Linked DNA regions of Coturnix japonica. The main gene of each other region encodes a partner of the protein of the gene in region 2 in a complex. Links are inferred from orthologs where the notes say so. Each region holds a gene or a part of one and is shown on either strand. Other genes may lie near its edges. The genes, in order: CNOT11 and CNOT6.

Region 1 (11,412 bases), on a different chromosome or scaffold from region 2:
CCTGGAATTTAAAACTGAACTGTGAAGTTGTAACATCCAAACTTAAGCACACACCTGAGAAAACAATTATTTATTGTTTAAACGCGTAAAATGCTATTTATAGTGTATTACATCATTAATCCAGTGATTTCTGTTTGAAATATACAATTAATTGGTACAGAATGCTGACAGGCTTTTTTCCCCTCCACTGACAGCACAGTCTTATTTAGAAGCTTTTGTCTCTGATGGGTTTTCCCCAGTGTCCAGGGTTTTCAGCAACCTGAAGAGGCCAGCAGCTTCTCGGATCCGGCTGAACTCAATGCAGAACGCTTGCACTTCTATGAACAAGTCCTGAACGTTGATAATTTTGTTTCTGATCAAAGACTGAAGAAAGACGCAAACAAGGCGTACCAGGCGGTTCTGAAACAGAAGAGAGATGGTTTCACAACCTTCATATGTATTTACAGCTAGTGCAGTTGTGTGTTGGCCCTCAGCAGTGCAACAGCCCCTTCACTTCAGGAGTAATTTTGGTACAGCAGTCCTCTTGTTCTCAAGCTCTGAACATGCTGCTCATGCTCTTCTACCTCTCCTATCACTACTGTATCTAAAAAAAGCAGGCTCCTCTGCTTTACAGTACTGTACTTCTTTATTATGTAACTTTATAAAGTCCTGAGAGAAGGGATGATAGCTTAAGATGCTGTCACAACCAGGGACATCTCAAACCATCTGAGAGCTACAGCAGGCACTCAAGAAAGAAACCAAAAAGCTTAAAGGAAAGTAATGGCTGCTTTGCACAAGCCTGATGAGGTTGCAGTCCTTCAGCATGGAGAAAAGAAAGCCAAGGGAGGAACTGGTCAAGACTCACCACACCTGGTGTGAGCTAAGCTTAACAAAGTCTAAGCATGTATTACACAGAGCAAGATATGGGACCTTTTTTCCTAACCCACTTAGTAGGGCACTCACCTGCATGTATTTGTCTTTAATCTGTTCACAAGTGGAGATACAGTTGGAGATGTAAAGATGAATAAATTCAGGAGGGAGATCAACTGCAGTAGTAAGCCTGTTCAAATTAAAGACATCAAATACTTCATGAAGCCATAAATTCAGCGATTCCATTGCAGAACAGAGTTAGACCTGTGATATTAATCTATTGCTGATCATGTTTCATTTTTAAACCCAACCCAGTACAGAAGCAGAGATGAATTTGGGCTTCAGTACATCTGACATTAACACAAACATTTGCTGTAAATTATAGAAGTGAATCAATATAATTTCAATCCTCCATACTGCCTGAGTACTGAGATTCTTCATATCATTTGGCTTATCCACTCATCCACTTACCGATTGACAACTTCCATTGAATGTAAGGACATGTCCATGTTGACCAAGACAGAAAAATACTCTGTTATCTGACTGGACTGCATCAGTTTGAGCAGCATTTCGATGGCTACTAAAGGATTGTTTTCAACGAGGTCTGGCAGTTTGGCAGGAGTGAGACCGATATGGTAAACAAGCTTGGGGTCCTTTTCCAGTTCTCCAAGGAGCTGTAGAAGGGAAAAGGAACTTGGTTATCAAGAGATTTCACACACAGAAAGGTATCAGTTCCGCTTGCTTACTGATCAGCTTTTAACTACATCCAGTCAACGCTATGAAGTTTAAAGACTTATCTTGTTCATATGTACTATAACCAAAAGCACAGAATCAGGTTGGAAAAGACCTAGAAGATCATCTAGTCCAACCATTACCAATACTTCCCAGCTAAATCATATTCATCAACACAACATCCAGACGTTTCTTGAACACTTGCATGGTCGGTGACTCCACCACCTCCCTGGGCAGTGCATTCCAATGCCTGACTACCCTTTCCGAAAAGTAATACTTCCTAATGTCCAGCCTCGATCTCCCCTGGCACAGCTTAAAACCATTCCCTCTAGTTCTATCACCAATTACCTGAGAGAAGAGGCCAACCCCCAGCTCACTACAACCTCCCTTCAGGAAGTTATTGAGAGTAAAAACGCACTGAGTTTTGAGAGCTTGGATTACTGGATGCTTACCCAATCATTACAGAAATCTGAATTAGAAAACTAGGATAATTTAAACTGAAAACATGTAGGTTTAATAGACAGCCTGCTCGAAAATCAATTTAAGCAGGAAATGGCACAATACTTACCTGTGTTTGCTGTGGGGAAGTCAAGGGACTTTTAAAAGCTTTTGCCATAATTCTTTTTATCTCAACTCCTGTGCTGTTTTTAACACACATTGACTTGTCCCACTGAATCGCGTGGTCTGGTTCTATGGGATTTAACCATGCCAATTCATCCTCACATATATGGAGCGGAGGTGGTGGACGAATGAACTCTGGCCGAAAGTGACCTAAAAAAGACAACAAAGTGAAATACATTGAGCTCCATTTTATTTCAGTACAAGGGTATCTCCAAGGTTCTCAACTTTTTAAGCTAGAGCAACAGTGGGAAGCACATGACGGTCTTATTTTCCTCCCAGGAAAGTATTTATTCCTCATTTTTAGTGATGCTGTTACATCAGCCTGTTTTTCCTCTTGAATTGGATCGCTACGTTACTGCTTCTTTCACTGATGAATGGTCTTTTTCTCTCCCATGCTACTGACTCTTTGATGTGTTACAGTAGAACTTAGTGCAAGGGGCTGCGAGTTGAGGAGCATCAGGTAACACATCTATCAGACTGAGGCAGACTCCAGGTTTTGAAAAGCCTGGAAATGGGAACATGACGGAGACTGATCTGGAGACAGTTTAATACAGTTCTGCACTGCTTCGTTCATCTTCATTCCCATTTCATACCTTGAAAACATTTTTGAGTCATACTATGCTTCATCTGGAGATGACTAACAACGTAGCACACCGTGAGGTTAAACAAAAAGATGTGAAAACGTACATACTTTCTATAGGAGGCTTTGGTCCGCTCACTAATGCTTCCGTGATCTGGGAGGCAACAGAGCTGTCAAAACCGGAGTTGGAAGAATCTGGGTCAGGATCACTGAGGATGCTGGGGAAGCTGGCCTTGCTCTGTGTCGGCAACTCAGACTGACGCTCTGCAAGAAGGACAGTCCACAGTATTAAAGCATGGAATTGAAAGAGATGACAAAATGCTAGAAGCTAAGCAAAAGCTTTTTTAGCTGCAATAAATCAAAACCCGAACAGATAACAACATGGAATTTAGTTCTGTACTTGCTACTATTGAGTCTACCAGATGATAGAAGGCAGCCAGCAGCAAGGATGAGGAAGTAGAAATGAATCTCAGACTTGACTTTAAGTAACTGATGCAATGTGATATTACAAGCAAATCAGTACATCCACATGATAGTCCTGAAAGAGTTCGCATAACTCTATCTACTTTTGCAATCATTTCTCAGAGCAGTGAAGAGAGAAACCTGCAGAGATACATTTACTTTCTGCAATGATAAGGGTCATACTAGAACTGAAGTCACCTATTCAGATTCAGCCAACACACTTCAGTGGCACCACGTAAGCTGCTTTTGCATAGGAGTTTAATTGATACAGGATTCTACAGTTACAGCTATAAAGTCCTGTAAGAGCATCCCTCTAAAGCCCAAATTACAGAGCATAAACAAGGTACATAGAAGTAATACTAAATTTAGCATATGAAGCTGAAGACGTGAAAGAGTGGTAAAATAAACTATTACAACCAATCAATATTTGCACTGTCAAATTTTAGGTGTTCTTCTGTCACAGTCTCTCGCTCTTCCATACCTGAAGGCTTAAGGGCTGACCTTCCATATTCTCTGTATTAGTGAGAACCATGTTTTCTATTACCTTGGTAAAAGCAAACCAACAAAAGCCCAACAACATGCAGGAAAGCCAAGAGCCTGCCATACAATGCCATCTTATGTTCCTTCCCTCCCCCTCCCAAGGAGGATATTAAGTAGCAGATAAAGTCTCAAGTAATCTGAAGGCCAAATTTGCTGGTCCCACACGAAATCAACACCATTTCTTATCCGGATGATTAATTAAGTGTAGTGCCCTCAGCTTCAGTACCCCATCCTTATCTCTTTTAACAAAGCACACTTTTTTGTGCAGCCATATAACCCTTTGCAGCTCCTCATCCGTATGAAACTCTATTTCAGATCCATGAGAGACGCTTACAGCAAAACTCCTGTAGGTAACAAAAGGACACAGACACAAAGCTCTGCCTACTGCTAGTTTATACTAGAAATGTCCATCTTCCAATTATGTCAGCCCATGCAAAACACTGGAATATATGCTCAAACTTTATACGCTGTTGGAAATTCCAGCTTGTGAGTTCTACCATTCAGCTCCTACAGGGATCAGCTGAGTCAACGTAAGAAGTTCTCTGAGAAGAAAACAAGGTGACATACTGGGTGTCCTTCATTGTCATCCGTAGTCTAAAACTTACACCTATATAGGTATAAAGTCATGGATTGGTTGTATACCCTCAAATCCCCTCATCTCAAATGACTAATGATGCTTAATTAGAACAAAAGTTTAAGATACATTCTTACATGTTCCCGAACATCTCCAGGGATGGTGACCCCACCACATCCCTGGGCAGCCCAGTGTAAGCAGAAGGAAGGGGTGAGCGCTGTTAGCTAGAACACGGTTGTATTTCAGAAGAGAACACAGCAACTTGAACCAGTATGTTCAAATTGAAGAAAACAATTCCTACGAATGCAATCACTTATGTTTTATCAGGCTCTCTTGATCTGGAGAATCAAGACGCTCTATTCCAGCAACTGACATTCAATAGAAGAGCCTACAAGAAAAGTTACCACAGTGAATCATAGAATCATAGAAAGGCCTGGGTTGCAAAGGACCACAGTGATCATCTGGTTTCAACCCCCTGCTATGTGCAGGGTCACCAACCACCAGACCAGGCTGCCCAGAGCCACATCCAGCCTGGCCTTCAATGCCTGCAGGGATGGGGCATCCACAGCCTCCTTGGGCAACCTGTTACAGTACGTCACCAACTGAACTGAAGTTTAGAAGCCAAGTACTGTATTGTGCAGAATAGAGTACCTAGGAAATAAACTGCTCGAGTTGGCAACTCATTCTAAGCAATATTTTCCATTTCAGATCAGCTCTAGATGCAACTTGTTGCTCCACACGATCAGAACAATCCTATTCCTGCCCAAGAATAAGCACTGAGTTCCTTATAGCCTAGTAAAGGCAGAACATTTAGTGTGAGCTAACACTGCAAAACCTGACCACAGTCCAACTTTTGCCACACAGACAGAAGCACCTCAAAGTCAAACAGCAATTAACATTTCACAGAATCACAGAATGACCCGGGTTGGAAGGGACCTCAAGGATCATGTAGTTCCAACCCCCCTGCCTGGCAGGGCCACCAAACATACACATTTACTAGATCAGGTTGCCCAGGGCCCCGTCCAACCTGGTCTTGAACACCTCCAAGGACGGGGCATCCACAACCTCCCTGGGCAGCCTGTTCCAGGGCCTAACCACTCTCCTATCACAGCACAGCCACATCTCCTCCTTACCCGCCAATGCCAGCTGTAGCCCGCTTATATCCACCGACTGGGCCATGTTGCCAACGTCCATGGCAGCGATCTGGCGCGGGGTCTTCTTGAACAGCTCCCTGGGGGGGGCCAGCATCAGCTGCGAGAGGAAGAACTTCTCGGGCGGGGTTATGGGCGGCAAGAAGCCTGCGGGGAGAGAGGGGAGCGGTAAGATTCCTGAGGCCATCACTACCCCGCGTGCTCCTTAAGCGTGGAGAGATCATCTCGTACAGTAACGTTACGGCAAAACGAGTGACCCTTCCCGCTGTCACAGCCCCGGCCGTTCCCGGCACCTGAGAGCGGGGTGCGCTCCGCCTCGTCGCCGCCGCGTTCGGGAGCGGGGTTGAGCAGGTGGGCGAAGACAGCGGCGAAGGGGTTTGCGGCGAGGGGCTCGGTGCGGTACATCTCCCATAGCAGGTACAGGGCGGTGAGGCGCTGCGCGGGGCTGGGCAGCAGGTCGGGCTGCTGCAGCAGCAGCACCAGCACGGAGCCCAGGCGGAAATGCTCGGCCTTGCCGAAGTAGTGGTGGAAGGCGCTGGAGAGGCCCTCGAAGGTGCTGCCGCCCGCCTCCTCCGACACGATGCCCAGCAGGCTCGTCAGCTCCTTCGGCGACAGGCTCATCCTGCCGCCCGCCGCTCCACCGCCGCCACCCGCTCCTCCCGCCTCACCGCCCGCCTCGGCCGGGCTGCCCCCGCCCCCGGGCATCCGCCTCACGGCGCACGGCCCCGCCGCTGCACAACACCGGAAGGCCGAGCGTTGAGGCGCCGGACGCGCTTTACGGCACGGCAGGGGATGGGCCGGGACATTGGGCCGGGACTGGCGGGGCGGGGCGGGGACGGAGCGCGACGGGCGTTGGGGCCAGTAGGGGGAGCGCAGCGCGTTCCACGCACACCGCCCTGTGGTGCTGTCATCTGATAGGACTAGGGGTAATGGGATGAAAGTACAGCATAGGAAGTTCGAACTTCTTTACAGTGAGGGTGATGGAGCACTGGAACAGGCTGCCCAGGGAGGTGGTGGAGTCTCCTTCTCTGGAGATATTCAAGACCCGCCTGGACGCCTACCTGTGTGACGTGGTGTAGGGAGCCTGCTTTGGCAGGGGGGTTGGACTCCATGACCTCTAGTGGTCCCTTCCAACCCCTACAATTCTGAGATTCTGTGACCTGAAACTGAGCAGCGGATTTTGTGCTTCTGGTGTGTGCAAGTTGTCTGGGTGCTCATCCACTCTCAAGTAGATCTGTGGTGCTTCTGCTCAGGTAGCAACAGAAATAGGCAGCAGGAGGGAGGTGAAAGAAAAAGGTGGCAAAGAAGTGATATTAAATTGACCTGCTTCACAGCAAGTGTTTGAGTTTCTTCTAGCGAAGAAGCTGAATCCTTCAGCTAGGAAATAACTTCCACTGGTGTATTTTTATCCCACATTTCACATGGGAAGAACACGATGGGAAGGAATTAAGTCACACCTTGAAGTCAAAGGGGAAATCAGAACACATCCAGATTGTTTTGTTTATTCTCACAAGGCTTTTCTCTTGTACACAGATTCCTTCCCTTAGTAATTTAAGTGACCCTGCCCATCTACAGTGTATTTTTAATAGCAACAAATCTAAAAGGGTTGGGGAAGTTAGGTTTCGTGTGAGCCTCTCCATATGCAGCTTTCTAGTGACCATTGCATGTTATCTTTCCTAGTTCAGCTCTTCAGTTCAAAACCTACCATGAGACAACAGAAACAGATTTATTACTCCTGGAGTAATCAACAATATTGGCGTGCTAACAATGCCTAAAAGCCTTCCTGAGCTTCACTTGTTCATCAGACCTCAAAGATGTCAAGCGATTCTTGGATGTATTTTGTAAAAACACCCCAGATACGATTTTACAATGGCTTCATATGTGCTGTTCCATGGTCATTCAGAAACAAACATGGTTGGTGATAAATTCTTGAGCTTCTGTGAACTGTAGTGACACTTGGGTATTTTAAGGCAGTTTTCAAGTGTCAGCCCATGTCAAGTCATTATTATTATTTTCCCCAGGGAGGTGGTTGAATCGCCATCCCTGGTTGTGTTTAAGAGCCATTTGGATGTGGTGCTCAGGGATATGAGTTAGCAGAGGGTTGTTAGAGTTAGGGTGCTGGTTAGGCTGTGGTTGGACTTGATGATCTTCAAGGTCTTTTCCAACCTGGGTAATTCTATGATTACTTGGATTCCTATGTGAACATCACTTGGAAACTCTTCACTCTGAACTTGAATTGGAGTATTCAGCTTTTATCGTCTGAGCTCTGCAATTGCACGCCTGACTCACTTGGCACTATTTCTGTTCCCTGGTTCGATGACTCCGACTTACGCTTTGTTTCTGTTTTCATCTCAAATCAATATCAGTTGGATCTTTGCAGGAGGGAGGGCTTTGTTTGTGCTTAAACCACTAATCTGAAATCTGCTTTCTGATAAAGTGTTTAATAATTCAGAGCTGATCAGAGCTGATGCTCGAGGAGGGGGGACTTTCAGCTTCTGTTTCTTCCTCTGCCTGTAGGGTGCTGAACTCAAATCCAGGCTATGGCTCTAGTAGGAGCAGGGGGGAATATTCATCTCTGTCTGAAGTTACTTTTCTTTGTTTATAGGAACTGAGGACTCCTGGAAGGAAAGGAGAAAAGCAGGATCTGATGGTTTTAGTGAGAAAGTGCTCAGTGAGGTGCAGGATGAGGGTTTGTGTTCTCATCCTGTGCCAGGAACAGTGCAAGCAATGGCGGTCAGGTATGAAAGCAGAACAACGTGTGTGTTTGGGGACTGGAAATGCGTTGTCCTTCTTGCCTGTTTAAACTCCCAGACATTGAGAGAGTCCCTCCTCATTCTTTCCCTTTAGAAAGAACAAGTATTGGGTGATTTTACTTTCCTCCAGCAACAGTGAAGCTCCACTGTTTTGTCTGTATCAGAGATTCGTCTCATTCATTTTGTAATGTTCCCATTTATTTCCTGTATCTACTGAACTCCTTACAGGGCTTTCATTCCATCTGCCTACCAAGTTTCTCTTGTGGCCGTCTCTAAGTGTGCTGCACTTCCTCAAAACATTCATCCCATCTCCCATTTTGCATTGAAAGCTTTTAAAATGCATTTTAATGATGCATCGCAGCAATATAACGAGCCTAATAGCATCCTATTGATTTTCATTTGCAATGTTGGCATTCGAACATTTCAATAGTGTTTTAAGAGTGTGTATATTTAATGCGATTCAAAGACGAGGCAAATGCAGTACAATATTTATCTACTAAAATAAACCTTCACTATCTCTTACCAGTTAAATCCTCCCTCCATCCTCCCCCATGCTGTTTGTTGCAATCAGCTGCATTAGAAGTATATTGTTTTCAGTGTCTTCAAACAAGCAAGCCATAATCCTCGGCACAAGGAAGTAAAAGGGAAAAACAACAGATCACTGTATCTGCACATATCTTTGTTTATCTGCTGTGGTCAAAGTGAAGATATTAATGACGCAGACCCAGTCAGTGCTGTTGGTGAATGCAGTGTTTTATCTTCACAGTGAAGAAAACTGCTCCAGGATACTCCGTAGATAGGAATTAGCTGAGTTATGGAACACACTAACTCGGGCTAAGAAAAACAAACAGCAAAATGAAACGGGAAGATAGACACATCACCATTCTCATTTGCTGAATAACTCAGTTGTTACACCCTGCAGAGAGCACTGCTTTCGGGGGGAGCTTCTGTATATTCAGTGAGCAGGATGCGAAGCAGCCATTCAGTTCACCCAAGTGTCACTTGCATGTATGGTCACTTGGAGGTGATGCTCAAACAGCAGCATTGACAAGCTGCACCAGCCACACACACACACCCCAGACGGCTGTGCTGCCATTCAATGGGACCTGGACGGACCTGTTCCCTTTTTGTGGATGTTGTGTTGGCAGTCATGTCTCACAGCAATCAGAGGTTTCTGGAGGATGTGGAACTACTTGGTTCCCTGTCCATTAAATACAGCTATAAAAGCACACCCCCAGTGTGGGACCAGCTGATAAAACAGCGAAATAGTCATTTTAGATCTCATAAACAAAAGGCATTTTCTATGCAGAAACAGGCCTTTCTGGGGGGAGTTTCCTCTGAAGTAGCTAGTCTTGGTAACAGTAATCTCTGGATGGTAAATCTGATCAAACACAGCAACTTCCATCTGTGAGAGCCTGCTGACTTCAGAGTGCACATAGGGTTTGATCCATGTTCACCAAAGAAGAAGTGTGTTCATTCTGTGGAGAGGTAAAAAATTGCCTAACAGGCAGGTTGGTTTGCAGGCCAACAGTTGACGCATCAGTAATGTGGCACTTGTGTGCAAGACCTTGCCTCTATTGCTGTGCTGTATGTCTACAAGTATCCTGGGTTTTCAAACTCATGCACCTCTGGCTCTTCCTTGTAATTTTCTTCTCAAAACCCGGTGCAAACTTCCTCTCCCATCCTGACTGTTTATAAGTACACATAGAAACAAATGTTTTGTAAAGATGTGAGAGACATTCTGCTTTATTCCCAGGAGCAAATAAAGCCTTTTTATTTTTAGCCTAGTTTCCTAAGGAAATGAGACTGATGCAATCGCATTGTCTATTTGTCAGTCTATCAAATCAGCCCCCTTGGCTCCTTCCCTCCCCCCATCATCTTCTGACCATTCATCTTCTTTAGCTGGACATGACCAAAAGGCAAAAGTATTTCAGAAGTGTTAAATGTGTGCACGCTCTATGACAGTCAGTGGCTGGGACAGAGACCTTATCCATTCCCTCCCTAGAGAAGTCAGCTGGCTGAACTCTGCTGATAGGCAGCAGCACCTTGATAGCAAGTCTACTTCTGTGCAGCTGTAACTCTGCTGTGATGTGTGTAACCCCCTCAAGTCTCAAGGATGGGAAGGGCTGCAGTGACAGCTCAGAGAATCATAGAATCATAGAATTACCCAGGTTGGAAAAGACCTTGAAGATCATCAAGTCCAACCACAGCCTAACCATAGTACCCTAACTCTAACAACCCTCTGCTAAATCATATCCCTGAGCACCACTAGGTGTTCCTAGAGGGGCTCTCCTGGGTACCTGGCAGTATTTCAGAGATAGGGAGAGAGCCACAGCACAGGGAAGAGAAGCAGCTGGGGTTGTTGGACTGTTGACTCACCCTCAGAGTGACTGAATTTTGAGGTGATGTTACAGGGAGCTTCTCAGCGGTGGCTGAAGGAACATGGTGGAAAAGAAATGCAAAGCCAGTGCTAGAGAAGGGTTCATCCCCATCTCCGTTAATACCTGGCAAGTGTTTTATAGGTAAATGCTGTTATGGTGAACAAAATGCACAAGAAAAACAGGGATAGGTTCACATCTAACCAGTTATTTTATAAAACCCTCGCAAGCACGTATGTTACCTCAAAAAAGAGAGTGTAACCTTGACTGATGTTCTTGCAGAAGCAGAGTGCTGTGTTAACACCAATGGCACGGAGCACACTGGCATCCAAACAAGTTGGGAGGCTGAGCCATTTTGCCTTCAGCAGCTGAAACCATTCTGTAAGCGTTTCACATATAATTAAACCATCTTTTCCCATCAGGTGATCTGACCTCAGCATATAACTACACAGGCCAGGACAAAAGATGGTAAGGTGGTTCAAATAATGGAACAGTGGGCAGAAACCTCCTATTTGTAAAAAGGCATTGCTTTGTCCAGAGGGGGAAACACTCGCTTTTCTCAGGATCCTTTTATTCATGAACTATGCATCCCATGCTTGTGTTCATAAATGTTTCCCTGCCATCAGCCACCATCTGCAGACCTATCCAGCCGTGCCCCTGGCTGCCAGTCATTCCCATGTTTCTCTCAGAGATCACAATAAGGACCCACGCATGCAGTCGGTGTAGCTGGAGAAGTGCACTCTCTCTCAGCCACCTACTATTTCGCTGGAGC
Region 2 (10,666 bases):
GCAGAAGAAATTAGTAAACAATTGAACAGAGCCTGAGATCAAACAACAAGAAAGCGTGGAGTCAGATGACACACAGGGAACTTGAAAGAAAAATCTTTACCTTTCTGAGGAATTAAGATCATGGTCTTCAATTTTTTATTCTTCGACAAATGTTCAATTAAGCCTGTTACAATTCAACTAACTGACTCACTTTGGACAGTCATTTCTGTTTCTGTGAAGAGTATGCTAATTAAAAGGAACTTAGAGTCTGAAGCAGAGGTTCTAGATGGGACAGGGCTACTACAACTGTCTATCAGCACTGGGCAGATGACTGGTTAATTGAAGCATCATTAAGATTTTAGTAGCAGATAACAGAGATCAACATTTGATATAAAATGAATAAAGCTTTCTTGAAGCACTACAGTACCTGTTGGCCTGGTACGGTCTGGTTCTTGTAACATAATCCAAGACCTTGGAGGTGGCTGTTCTGTTGAAACTATGGAAATATTTTAAAGAGACAAAAGTGATAATCACATTTATCTTACACAGCAGGAATAAATCTTTTAAGAATGATCACTTACTTCTTTTTGCAGTACCTGCCAAATTATCAAGCAAATAGTTCAGTAGCCTTCGCGTCCCGTCTGGTTCCTGATAAAGGTTCAGAATGTCCTGCGTGAGTGGATTTCCTGCAAACACATTTACAGAAACGCTGAATGAAGTATACAGAACCAGTATGAAGTTACTTATCAGTGTTAAAAGCCAGCATCGCTGATAAAAGATATTAAATCTACTATCTAACAAGCTTCAAATCTCAGGTATTCAATCCCACAAAACAAGCACCACATCTGATTCCTGTGCAAGCAACAGAAAGCTTCTCGCTCTGCAGAAAGAGAGAAGCTTCTCTACACTTGGAGGACTTCACCCAAGTGACTCTTGTTCCTCTCTTTAACAATTACTAAGCAGTGTTTATAAAAGCGAATTAAGCAGCTACATCTGGGATTGCTACTCAGGAACATTCACGAATTAGCAGTCTACAGCCCCTACATCGCAGGAGAGACATCATTAAACAAACAAAGCACAGATACCAAGAAAAAGTAGTAATACCTTTCAGACCCAAAGTCTGTAACTGGAACAGTTTTCCCAGCTCAAAAGGTAAAACTCGTAACAGGTTGTTATTTAAATGTAGTTCCCTGTAGACAGAGCGACAATCATATAGGGCTGAAAACAGACCTGGGTTTGTCTTCAGCAGCCTATAGTACAAGTTACTAAAAGAGAAACAATATACTAACAAACCACAACATAGGAAGAAAAAATAAAAAGAAACAAACTTGAACACTGAATGGCAGTAGGGAAATTCTGCTGTACTCACACAGGCACAGACAAGAACGGGTACCATACTGAAGTAAGTAGGAAAGCAGGTGATTGGCGAGTTCATCTTAACAAGTCAGAAATATCATAAACATTAACAATTACTAAAGCATTTAGTAACTACCAGTGATTAAGCAGTAACAGCTCTGACAAACCAGGTCGTGAAACAGCTCAGCTGATAATTATATCCGAGAAAACAAGTAAGCAAAAAATTCAGGACCATGGTAGTAATATGAGAGCTAGGACATTACTGTATTAGTGCAGTTACAGTTCTTTGTGGTTAAGGTCTTTTGATAACATATAAGAAGCAGTGTGCATGCCTCCCAGGTAATCCATTCTCTCCATATAAGCTGCTTGCTTTTGTCACACAAGCAAAGTGCATATTGATCTGCTGTGTACGCATGTCCAGGCACACAAAAAACGAGTTGTGTCTCTCACCAACACTGTTTGTTTTCACAACACAAAATACACCTTTTTTTTGTTTCCAAAATTGCAGAACAAACACAAGAACAGAATTTGTGTCTGGCGTTCTAACATTCCAATCAATCAGGCAGAGAAAAACAGACTTCTTAGCAAGCTTTCCAATTTCTTAAAAATCAACCCAAGCTGAATTGAAGACTTTGCTCACAATTTCCAGTGTTAATTTGCTTCCTTCAGATTTCTATGAGGTTGCATTTGAAAAAGAAACATCTCTTCTTCCAGCCTTGTAATAGTCAGCTCTACCAGGTCCTTCCCCAGCAGTGACTTCAGTGAACTCACTCGGTTTCAGCGCAGATTAGAAAGGGTGCTAAAGATCGAGGGGTTTGTTTCACCAATACTCTGAGGTGTGGAGCAGTGGAAGATGAAGGGGGAGATAAAGGCTGTTTGTAATCAGCCAGTTTACTAGAAATGGCAAGCCAGTACTCGGCTGACTGACAGGCTGTAACACACCGAGCCACCTGGTCTGTAGTTATTTTTGTGTGCTTTCTTTTTAATATGAAAATCCTACAGTTGAAAACAGCCTAACTCAGAAGCAGCCCACTGTGTCACTGTGGGTTTCTAAGTATGAACAAGACAAACAGCAGGTTAAAAAAAAAATAAATTATGATATTATTAAAAAAAAAAAAAAAAAAAAAAGCGAAAACATCAACATTCCCAACAGTTCTCTGCACTTCATAAACATTTAACATTGAAATAGGTGCTATTTTTTAGGGATAACATTACATGTGACATTACAAGGGTCCTAATTTATTCTTTAGGAAGACATTTTTTCCTACAGCAGCTTTTCAAAGCACTACTGAAGTTGAAAAAAAGAAATAAAAAAACCTAATTATATATGAATTAAAAAAATATATTTTAATAATAAATAATAATAATAGCTCTTCTACATCTTCTAGTGGAAAATGAGCAAGAAGGAAGAATGGCAGACAAGGAGGTATCATTACCACTCCTCTCCTGGATGAAAGAATTTGTTTCTCTAACGATCTATGCTTGCATGGAACCCTCCTGTACAGAAGGGACAATCACAGCAAATTCCACTAGTTCTTTCAAGTGTATCAAGAGAATCTGTTTCAGATCTGAGCTTTCTGAGATTGCATGTTACAGTTACTTCTCCTCTTTCCTCAAAGATCAGACATCTTACTGCTCCCCCTGACCCCTCTTCCTTCAGGCACCTGCAGTAAAAAGGGAGATGCCACGAGCCCTGGCTGAGCTCTGCCATAAAGCCCAAGCACAGTTCTCTAGATGTGGGAGTTATAAGACCTGTTACCAATGCTAAAGTGTGAGAGTGCAAATTATTTCTGTGGCTCAGGATATTAGCAATGCCTCGTGCTGAATTACTGTTAGTTTGATCAACTCCCCAGAATCTATGGGAAGCATCTGCAGTAAGAGCCAGCCTGAAACATAAAACTACAGCACAGCTGAGACCTGCAGAGCGCTATCACACAGGATGCACTTACGGATTTTTCTTCACTTTCACCACAGTGAAAAGAAATCATGGATCAGCTGCAATTACTGAGGACAGAGAGAGCGCAGTGGATTAATGCACTAGTTCTTTGTGTCTAGAGACCTGGATTTCAGTGATATGTTTTTGTCACAAACAGAACACTAGTTTGATCCTAGGCCTTAGCTACACATTTCACCCTCACTAGCTTTATCATTCTCTACTGAAGAGGGGTCTGGGACTTGGCAGAGCTGAAACTCCAGAGAATCAGGATAAATTGGGAAAGCATTGTGAAGATGGCACTGTATCTTTTGACACTACTGATGACTATGCAAGGGTAAGCTAACGTCAGGTAATGTGCATTAATTTAATAGCAACACTATAGAAGGAAAGAAAAAGACTGATGGAAATAAAATGATGCTGATGAAGTATAAAGATGAATTTGAGAATGCATCAGTAAATTTAGGATTGCTAGCTTACAATATCTGAGGAACAGATAAAGGAGAGAAGACAGTTATCATAGATTGAGATGTGAACTACTTTGGAATTTGAGCTTTTAGTTCTAATTTCATCTTTGCTAAAGTAGAATAAAATCCACTGACTAATATTTCTATGTAGAAACTTGCTTGGCCTTCAGTTTCATTAAAGCTCTGCTGGAGGACCATTACTTCTTTTTCTTCTTCCTTACTTCCAATAAAATTCCAGTTACTTTTAGATTCAGGGATTTCTGAGCTGACCATAAACATCTTCAAAATTAAAAGTAATGAAGTCAGATGCTGGTAATAAACCTAACAATAAAGCTTTTTTTTTTTCCCTCTGGTCAAGGGCAGAAGAATATTGCTTGTAGATATTTACCTTTATATGTCATTTATGTGTTTACATAACAGTGTTCTGCAAACAAAATGAAACATTGCAGTTTTAACTATAACACAAACACTCATTGCTACTCATGTTTCACTTCCAAAAGGAGGCATCATTCCATGAATACTCTGAGGAGCTAAACATTGTAAAATTCAGTGAAAAAGTTGCATATGGTAAATATTTTTTCCTCCTTAATTTACAGGAACGCAGTTAAATTACAGCAAAGTTGGGAAAGAGACGACATTAGGAAAGTTGCATTAGTTATTAAACCTAGAGAATAAGAACAAATATTATTAGGAATAATGAATAAATAATAAAAAACAGTAGTTAATACAACTGTTGATGTTTAATCGGACCTTTTTCCTACATTGCAATGAGCTAAAGGCAATTTTCTGCGTATTAGTATTTCTTAGTTAACTCCAGAAAAGAGTTTGGGAAGAGACGCATAGGAGAGGAAACCTGACTTGTAAAGACATAAAATGGGTGAGTGCTGTCAAACTGAGCATTTCTAGAGCTCATTACATATATATGATGTCATACATCAGAACAGGAGAACAAGTGAAAAAAAAAATAAGGAAGAGGGAATTTATTTATGCTTACATTTACTAGAACATCACTATTATGCCAAAACCCAAGCTGTTTGTACAAAGATAACAGCTAAGCAACTTTAACTCCTGTTATAAACCCACATACCTGAGTGACACCATGTTTCCGAGCTCTGCTGGTAAACTGCGGATTTTATTAGAGGACAGGTCCAGATAAACCAGATTATGAAGCTTGGCAATGTCTGAAGGAATACGGGATAAGGAATTGTCACTGAGATGCAAAGCTGTCAAATGGGTCAGTGTCCACAACGATGAACTTAAGCTTCTCACTTTCCCTGTGGAAGGACGGTAAAGAAAGAAAAATTCAAAAATTAAAATCAATGTATCTTATAGATTCAAAGAATTAAGCACTACCATATGTGAGACTGGGAAAAAACAACATAGACTTAAGTTCTGAGCTTTGGTCTTTTCTCAAGATCCATACAAAACAACAGACCTATTTACTGACCGTCCCCCCAACAGTTAACAGATGTTTTAAGAAACATTTCCTCAATTACTGTTCATGTTTGGGGTATAAGATGGCTCTTCAATTTTCCCCTACTTTCAAACCAAAAATCTTTGTTCTGTGGCATCCAGCCAGCCAGGAACAGACAGAAGTACTATATTCGGGGTGACCAAAATGCCTGGTTGAGAACACGGATTTCCATCTGGCATTCAGCTGAAAGCTGAATACATCACTGCCAGAGATTTTTTAAAAAGGTATAATTTTTGTATAAACTGAAAGATGGAAACATGGATTTCTGTTACAGAATCAAGGCTGTTACATCACAGCACACAAACAATGTGAGGTATAATCAGAAGGTCTCAAAACATTTCTTCTCTCCAAGACTTTTTTTCCCCCAGGAGGAGCCCTCTTTTCATTTACAAGAGTCACTTAACTGTGCCAACAGCACTGAAGGAAGAGCACCACCATCAGTTTCTCTAAGGTTAAAAAAGCTTGAAAGCCTTAAAAAACCTCAATGTTAAAAACAGCATCATTAAAAACAGCATCATTAATAAATACCCCAACGCAAACACATAATAATTCCTTTTATTATGAAGAACACTATTTAAGGAAACAACTCACATTTAGTGCCTGGGAAAAGCTACACTGATACATTTGTATCTGGAAGGCAGTCCCTGGTAACAAAATGTTTAATACAGGTGTACTTGTCAGGGAGCTACTTGCACACAAAAGCCCGCAGCAAAGAGCTCGGAGATTTCAATAAAAGCAATTAAAGCATTTGTGGCTTTCTGTAGCAGATGACCGAGTATTTTGCACGGAAAAGACACTGTGATCATCAATGGAACAAAGGCACTGCCACATTTTACTCTGCAAGGCAAATGCAAACAATTCCTTCAAGGGTTCATTCTCCTCTCAAGCTCATTAAGAATTTTTCTGAAACGTTTTTAAGTACAAATCAGGATTTCTCTGCGTTTCTTAAAGCTGCATTAACAACTCCTCCCTCTCTCCTACCCTCTAAATGCAAACAGGTGACTGCGATCAAAGAAACCTTTCGAGCAGGAAGGATTTATATATTCCCTTCACCACCTACATTTCTCTTGGCTGGAATCAGTCTATAGTGAGATCACAAAGCATGAAAGGAAAGAGCTATTACTTAATGCATTTCCTATGCATAAGTAGCAGATGTCCAAGTGGATATCCAAGCCTAAATTAATGCTTCTTGAAGCAGCATTTAACTAGGTTTCTGCACCTGTAACCTTTGAGTAAGTACTGTAATTCACATGTACTGGCATGTGGCACTTGAAAGATGACACAGATTCAGTGATCTGGAAGGAAAGACTTTACAGTTAGAAGTCTATTTGCTTTCTATACATTTATCTATTGAACAGCCATTTAGAAATACCAATCTTTTAAAGAAATTCCTTATTTAATCAGAATTTCAGCGTAAAACCTCAGTTTGTTATTGCTTCTTCCAGTCAACCACCGAATATAACACATGGAGCTTACAATTTCTTTCCTACAGCTGTTTCATACTCCCTATGTTTCTCGTTCCAGCTTGTACTGTGCAGGTTGCTTTTAAAATACACTGAAATCTTAACTGAGGATCATTAACCGGTTTCTCACCACTTATTTCCAACTCTGCCCAGTGTGATTTCTTTCCATTGGCTGCTTCCTCTGAGGACATAATTGTGTACATCCTCCGTGGATCAGGTGGATCGTACTTTTCCTTGGGCATTCCTGTCGATACAAAATCACAAAGGATTATGACATTTTATACTGAGAATTCTTTAAAAGGTAATTTCCATTCTACAGCTAAATATTGTACTGGATATTCAATACAAATATTTAAAGGTAATCTACATCCATTTCTAAGTGTAAAAGCCTGCTCTCTTAGAGGAGCTCAGATCCAATGGTATAAGATAAAAATCCAACCCCAGCCCCCAATAATTTAATTATGTCTGTAATGCAATACAAACATCCTGTCCTGACACCTTTCACAAGTACACCCCTGTATTGCTCTGCAGACATCCCATCATACCGCAGTCTCCTTCGCCTTTGGCCTACAGAAGCAGAACCTCCAGCAACCACTACTTGACAAAGAAACTTTCAGACTTTTGGGCTTTCTGTTCTCCTTGCTGGTCAGAAAGCTGCTTAGAATAATAACCACATCCAAATTCCTTAACAACAAGACTTCAGAAATTGATGAATACCACCACTACCATGTTCCCCTTCATATAAACTACTGAAAACACTTGCTACTATTCTTGTCTACCCATCACTTCCAGGCTTACTGCAGCCCTCAACTCACAACACAAATTCAGCAACCAAGAAAAGAATATTTCTAAAAGGATCCTCAATTCTTCAAGTCTGCAGAACAACAGTGCTCTAATCCAATCCTCAGCCTACTCTTCTGAGTCTAAAAACATCATTTCTAACATAGAGATTCAGATCAGTTTCTTAAGTTTTACCGTTAAGCATCTAACTGACCTTAACTTCCCTCACTCTCTTCCTCATCGTTCCTGATAAGAAATTCAGAAACATTTCTGATCAGTGCTTCTTTATTACTGCAGCCCAGTGTAGACAGTGGAAGAGAACTGCTAAAGGTTCTTCTAGGCAGAGCCCTCCCACCAGCATTCCTGTATGGCAGCAGAGCAGTACCAGCTCTGTGCACAGAGAAGGAATGAGAAGGTGGCACTGCTGTCTCCTCTCCACCTCAAGAAAACAGTATTTGGGATTCAGTCAGTAGAAAAGGGAAAATGGCTTAAACATACCTTGATTTATATAAATACTGCATGAATTGACCCATTAGTTGCATGTTTTAAGGTTACAAAGAACTTCCAATATACATCATTTTTACCACAAATAAACACTAGCTTAGAGTTCTATGCATACGTAAGAGCTTCTATGGCAAAGTTCCCCATCTTAAGTGGAAACATCCACACTGAGAAGCACGAGCCATAAACCATAGAAGTGATGTGTGTGCAATAACTAAGTTAAACAACAGCATCTCAAAACAAATTTACAAATACATTTCAAGCAATGCAATGCAATTCCTAGAGCAAAACACGTAACAGCAATGCAAAGAAATGCTGCTGACACCCCGACAACACCCAGCTATCACACCTAGCGAAGCTTTCTATCAAGTCTTTCCTTCAGCCCTGGACATACTTGAGTACATTAGAAAAGCACTGCACTCCAATGGAACATTAACAACTAATAATCCTCACAAGGCCATTGACCAGACCTACTTACCATTCATTTAATAAAAATTATTTAACACATTAAAAAACAGAAGACAGATAATTATGTGACTTTATTAAAACAAAGTCATCCAGCCCCAAGTGCTTACTGTAACGCAGTAACTCTTGTACTGATTCACACCTCTTCCCTTTCTCACTGCTGGTCAGAGTCAGCTCCACCCAGGGACAAGAAATTCCTCTTTAAGAAGTGAATTCTGGGTAAAGTGCTCAGATTATAAATAGCAGCTGGGATGGGTTCCTTACAGAATGGCCATACCTGAGTTCTGGGGATGCTAAAAATCATTAAGTGCTAAATCATCTTCTTTAAACTAAGTTCATTAAAAAGGTAAAAACTGAAAATCACCAGAAAGGTAAAAACATATTTTAACCTTCTAGTAGCTATCTAACGAATGTAATCATAAATGGCAAAACAATACATACAGCATCTCCTCTGAGCCTGCTACAAACAAGCACATGTTCACAAATGCCATCCCCACACAGAGCACTGCTGCTGTGCTCTTCCAGGGAGTGTTCTCCTCCCTCCCTCATCTGATACATTCTCTTCCTGCAGCTCCTGCACTTAATAAACGTGCTCCACTTTCTAAAAACGAAAGCAGGTAGTACCAGAGACAGAAATCTCATTCAGTACGGAAATGCGAATACTCCCCAGAGCACAGTCAATCACACGCACTAATTAACAGACTTGCTGGTACCAGCGCTACATGGCTCCCTGCTACCAAAGGAGGATGACATACTTTTCCAGTGGGTTTTGTTCATGCACGGTAACACAACTGATGAGATTTAACAACTGAAGGTTTTAACAGAGAATATCAGTGTGCCCGTCCTGCCAGTCTGTCAGTGTCACCATCTGACCCTTCTCAGCATTCCTCTTCGATGGATTTCCCTTTCTCACTGCTGCATTTCAAAGTGCAAAGACTAAGCCTAGGATCACTCAATAGCAGAAAAAGCAGCGAGTGCAGACAGGGCAGCTTTGCTCAAGGAGCAGTCCTGGCTGCAAGGAACAGCACCGACGTGGGAAGTCACCCCAGCAGATCTTTGTGCACCTTCATTCATCAGGTAGAGCTGAAGATCTCCCAGGCCCTGACAGCCAGACTAAATGTGGGTCACGTTGGCCACCACAGAACACAAATGGGATGCCTTGAACTAAATTTCAAAACTTCCCAGCAGGGAGTAGATGGATAAATCACTGCTTTCTACAAATCACTGTCTCCTTTCTCCACCTCCCCCATTCCAAATTTAGAACCTGCTGAGGTAAATGTCAGATGAAGGGATATGGTTTTGTCAGACTAAAGCAATTTTAAGAGGCATAAAACGGTGCTGGACAACCTCAAAGCCTTTGATAAGGGCTGCTCTAATAATTAACTTAACACAGCCATCATTTACATCTCATTTTCATAAGAGTTTACACCATCTGTAATTTTCAGTTGCACCAGCACAGTCTGGGGAAAGCATTGCTGAATACTCAGCTGTTACACACACCACTTAGTTGGTAAGGGAGAAACAGTTTATCAACAAAGATAGGACACAGATAACAGAATGCATTCCACACAACCAAAATTAAATGTGAGGGCGTGTGATTATGTTTAAATGCAAATTAAATTGTTTACTATCTTGTACCGGCTTGTTAGAACTACATTTAAAAGATGAAACAAAATTGCTTGAGAGCTGATGACAAGGACAGCTGCCCACTCCAACCCCGGTCACTCAATCCCAATGCAGAATTAGGACTCCTAACCTCACAGGAGCTGAGTTAAACCAGGCTGGTGATGTCAAGAGCAAAAAGGATGTGACACAGGAAATCAGATGGAGAATCTTCAATGCAGACACAACTTTATGCCTTTGTTTGCATGAATGGCTCTGAGAGAAAGAGAGCAAAAAGAGACACAAAGTGAAGAAAAATATTGAAGATTGCCAAGTCAAGGGAGGCCAAACCGTTAGGAGAGCTGACAGTGATGACTAATGCAACAAATGGATGATGGAGTGCTGATCTGGGCATCTCTCAGGATCACTAGAGACAAAGCAAATTACCACAGGGCTGAGTTGCACCTGCGCCAATTGCTGCCCAGTTCTCCAGGTTAAAGCAATGAGTGAAGTCAGGTGATTAAGAACCAGGTTAGCTGTTCTAGAGAGCTGTCCTGGAAAAGAGAAGGTGTCATCACCAGCAGCTGTGTGAGTGCTGCTCCATTAAGCAGGTGCTGCTCTGCTGTTGAAGAGCATTTGTAGCTAA

Evidence for each region.
Region 1: CNOT6 (region 2) and CNOT11 share a complex: the UniProt entries of both Homo sapiens proteins name them as parts of the CCR4-NOT complex. The link is inferred for Coturnix japonica from reciprocal best matches to the Homo sapiens genes CNOT6 and CNOT11.

What each region holds. Positions count from the first base shown.
Region 1 is NC_029516.1:120,249,870-120,261,281, reverse strand, and holds CNOT11 (CCR4-NOT transcription complex subunit 11), read right to left. Parts: upstream 6,287-11,412; 5' UTR 6,215-6,286; coding exon 5,803-6,214; intron 5,657-5,802; coding exon 5,492-5,656; intron 3,047-5,491; coding exon 2,894-3,046; intron 2,353-2,893; coding exon 2,150-2,352; intron 1,524-2,149; coding exon 1,321-1,523; intron 1,040-1,320; coding exon 943-1,039; intron 400-942; coding exon 202-399; 3' UTR 54-201; downstream 1-53. UniProt on the Homo sapiens protein: Component of the CCR4-NOT complex which is one of the major cellular mRNA deadenylases and is linked to various cellular processes including bulk mRNA degradation, miRNA-mediated repression, translational repression during translational initiation and general transcription regulation.
Region 2 is NC_029528.1:4,232,889-4,243,554, reverse strand, and holds part of CNOT6 (CCR4-NOT transcription complex subunit 6), read right to left. Parts: intron 6,917-10,666; 5' UTR 6,915-6,916; coding exon 6,803-6,914; intron 5,010-6,802; coding exon 4,823-5,009; intron 1,170-4,822; coding exon 1,084-1,169; intron 666-1,083; coding exon 561-665; intron 476-560; coding exon 407-475; intron 1-406. UniProt on the Homo sapiens protein: Poly(A) nuclease with 3'-5' RNase activity.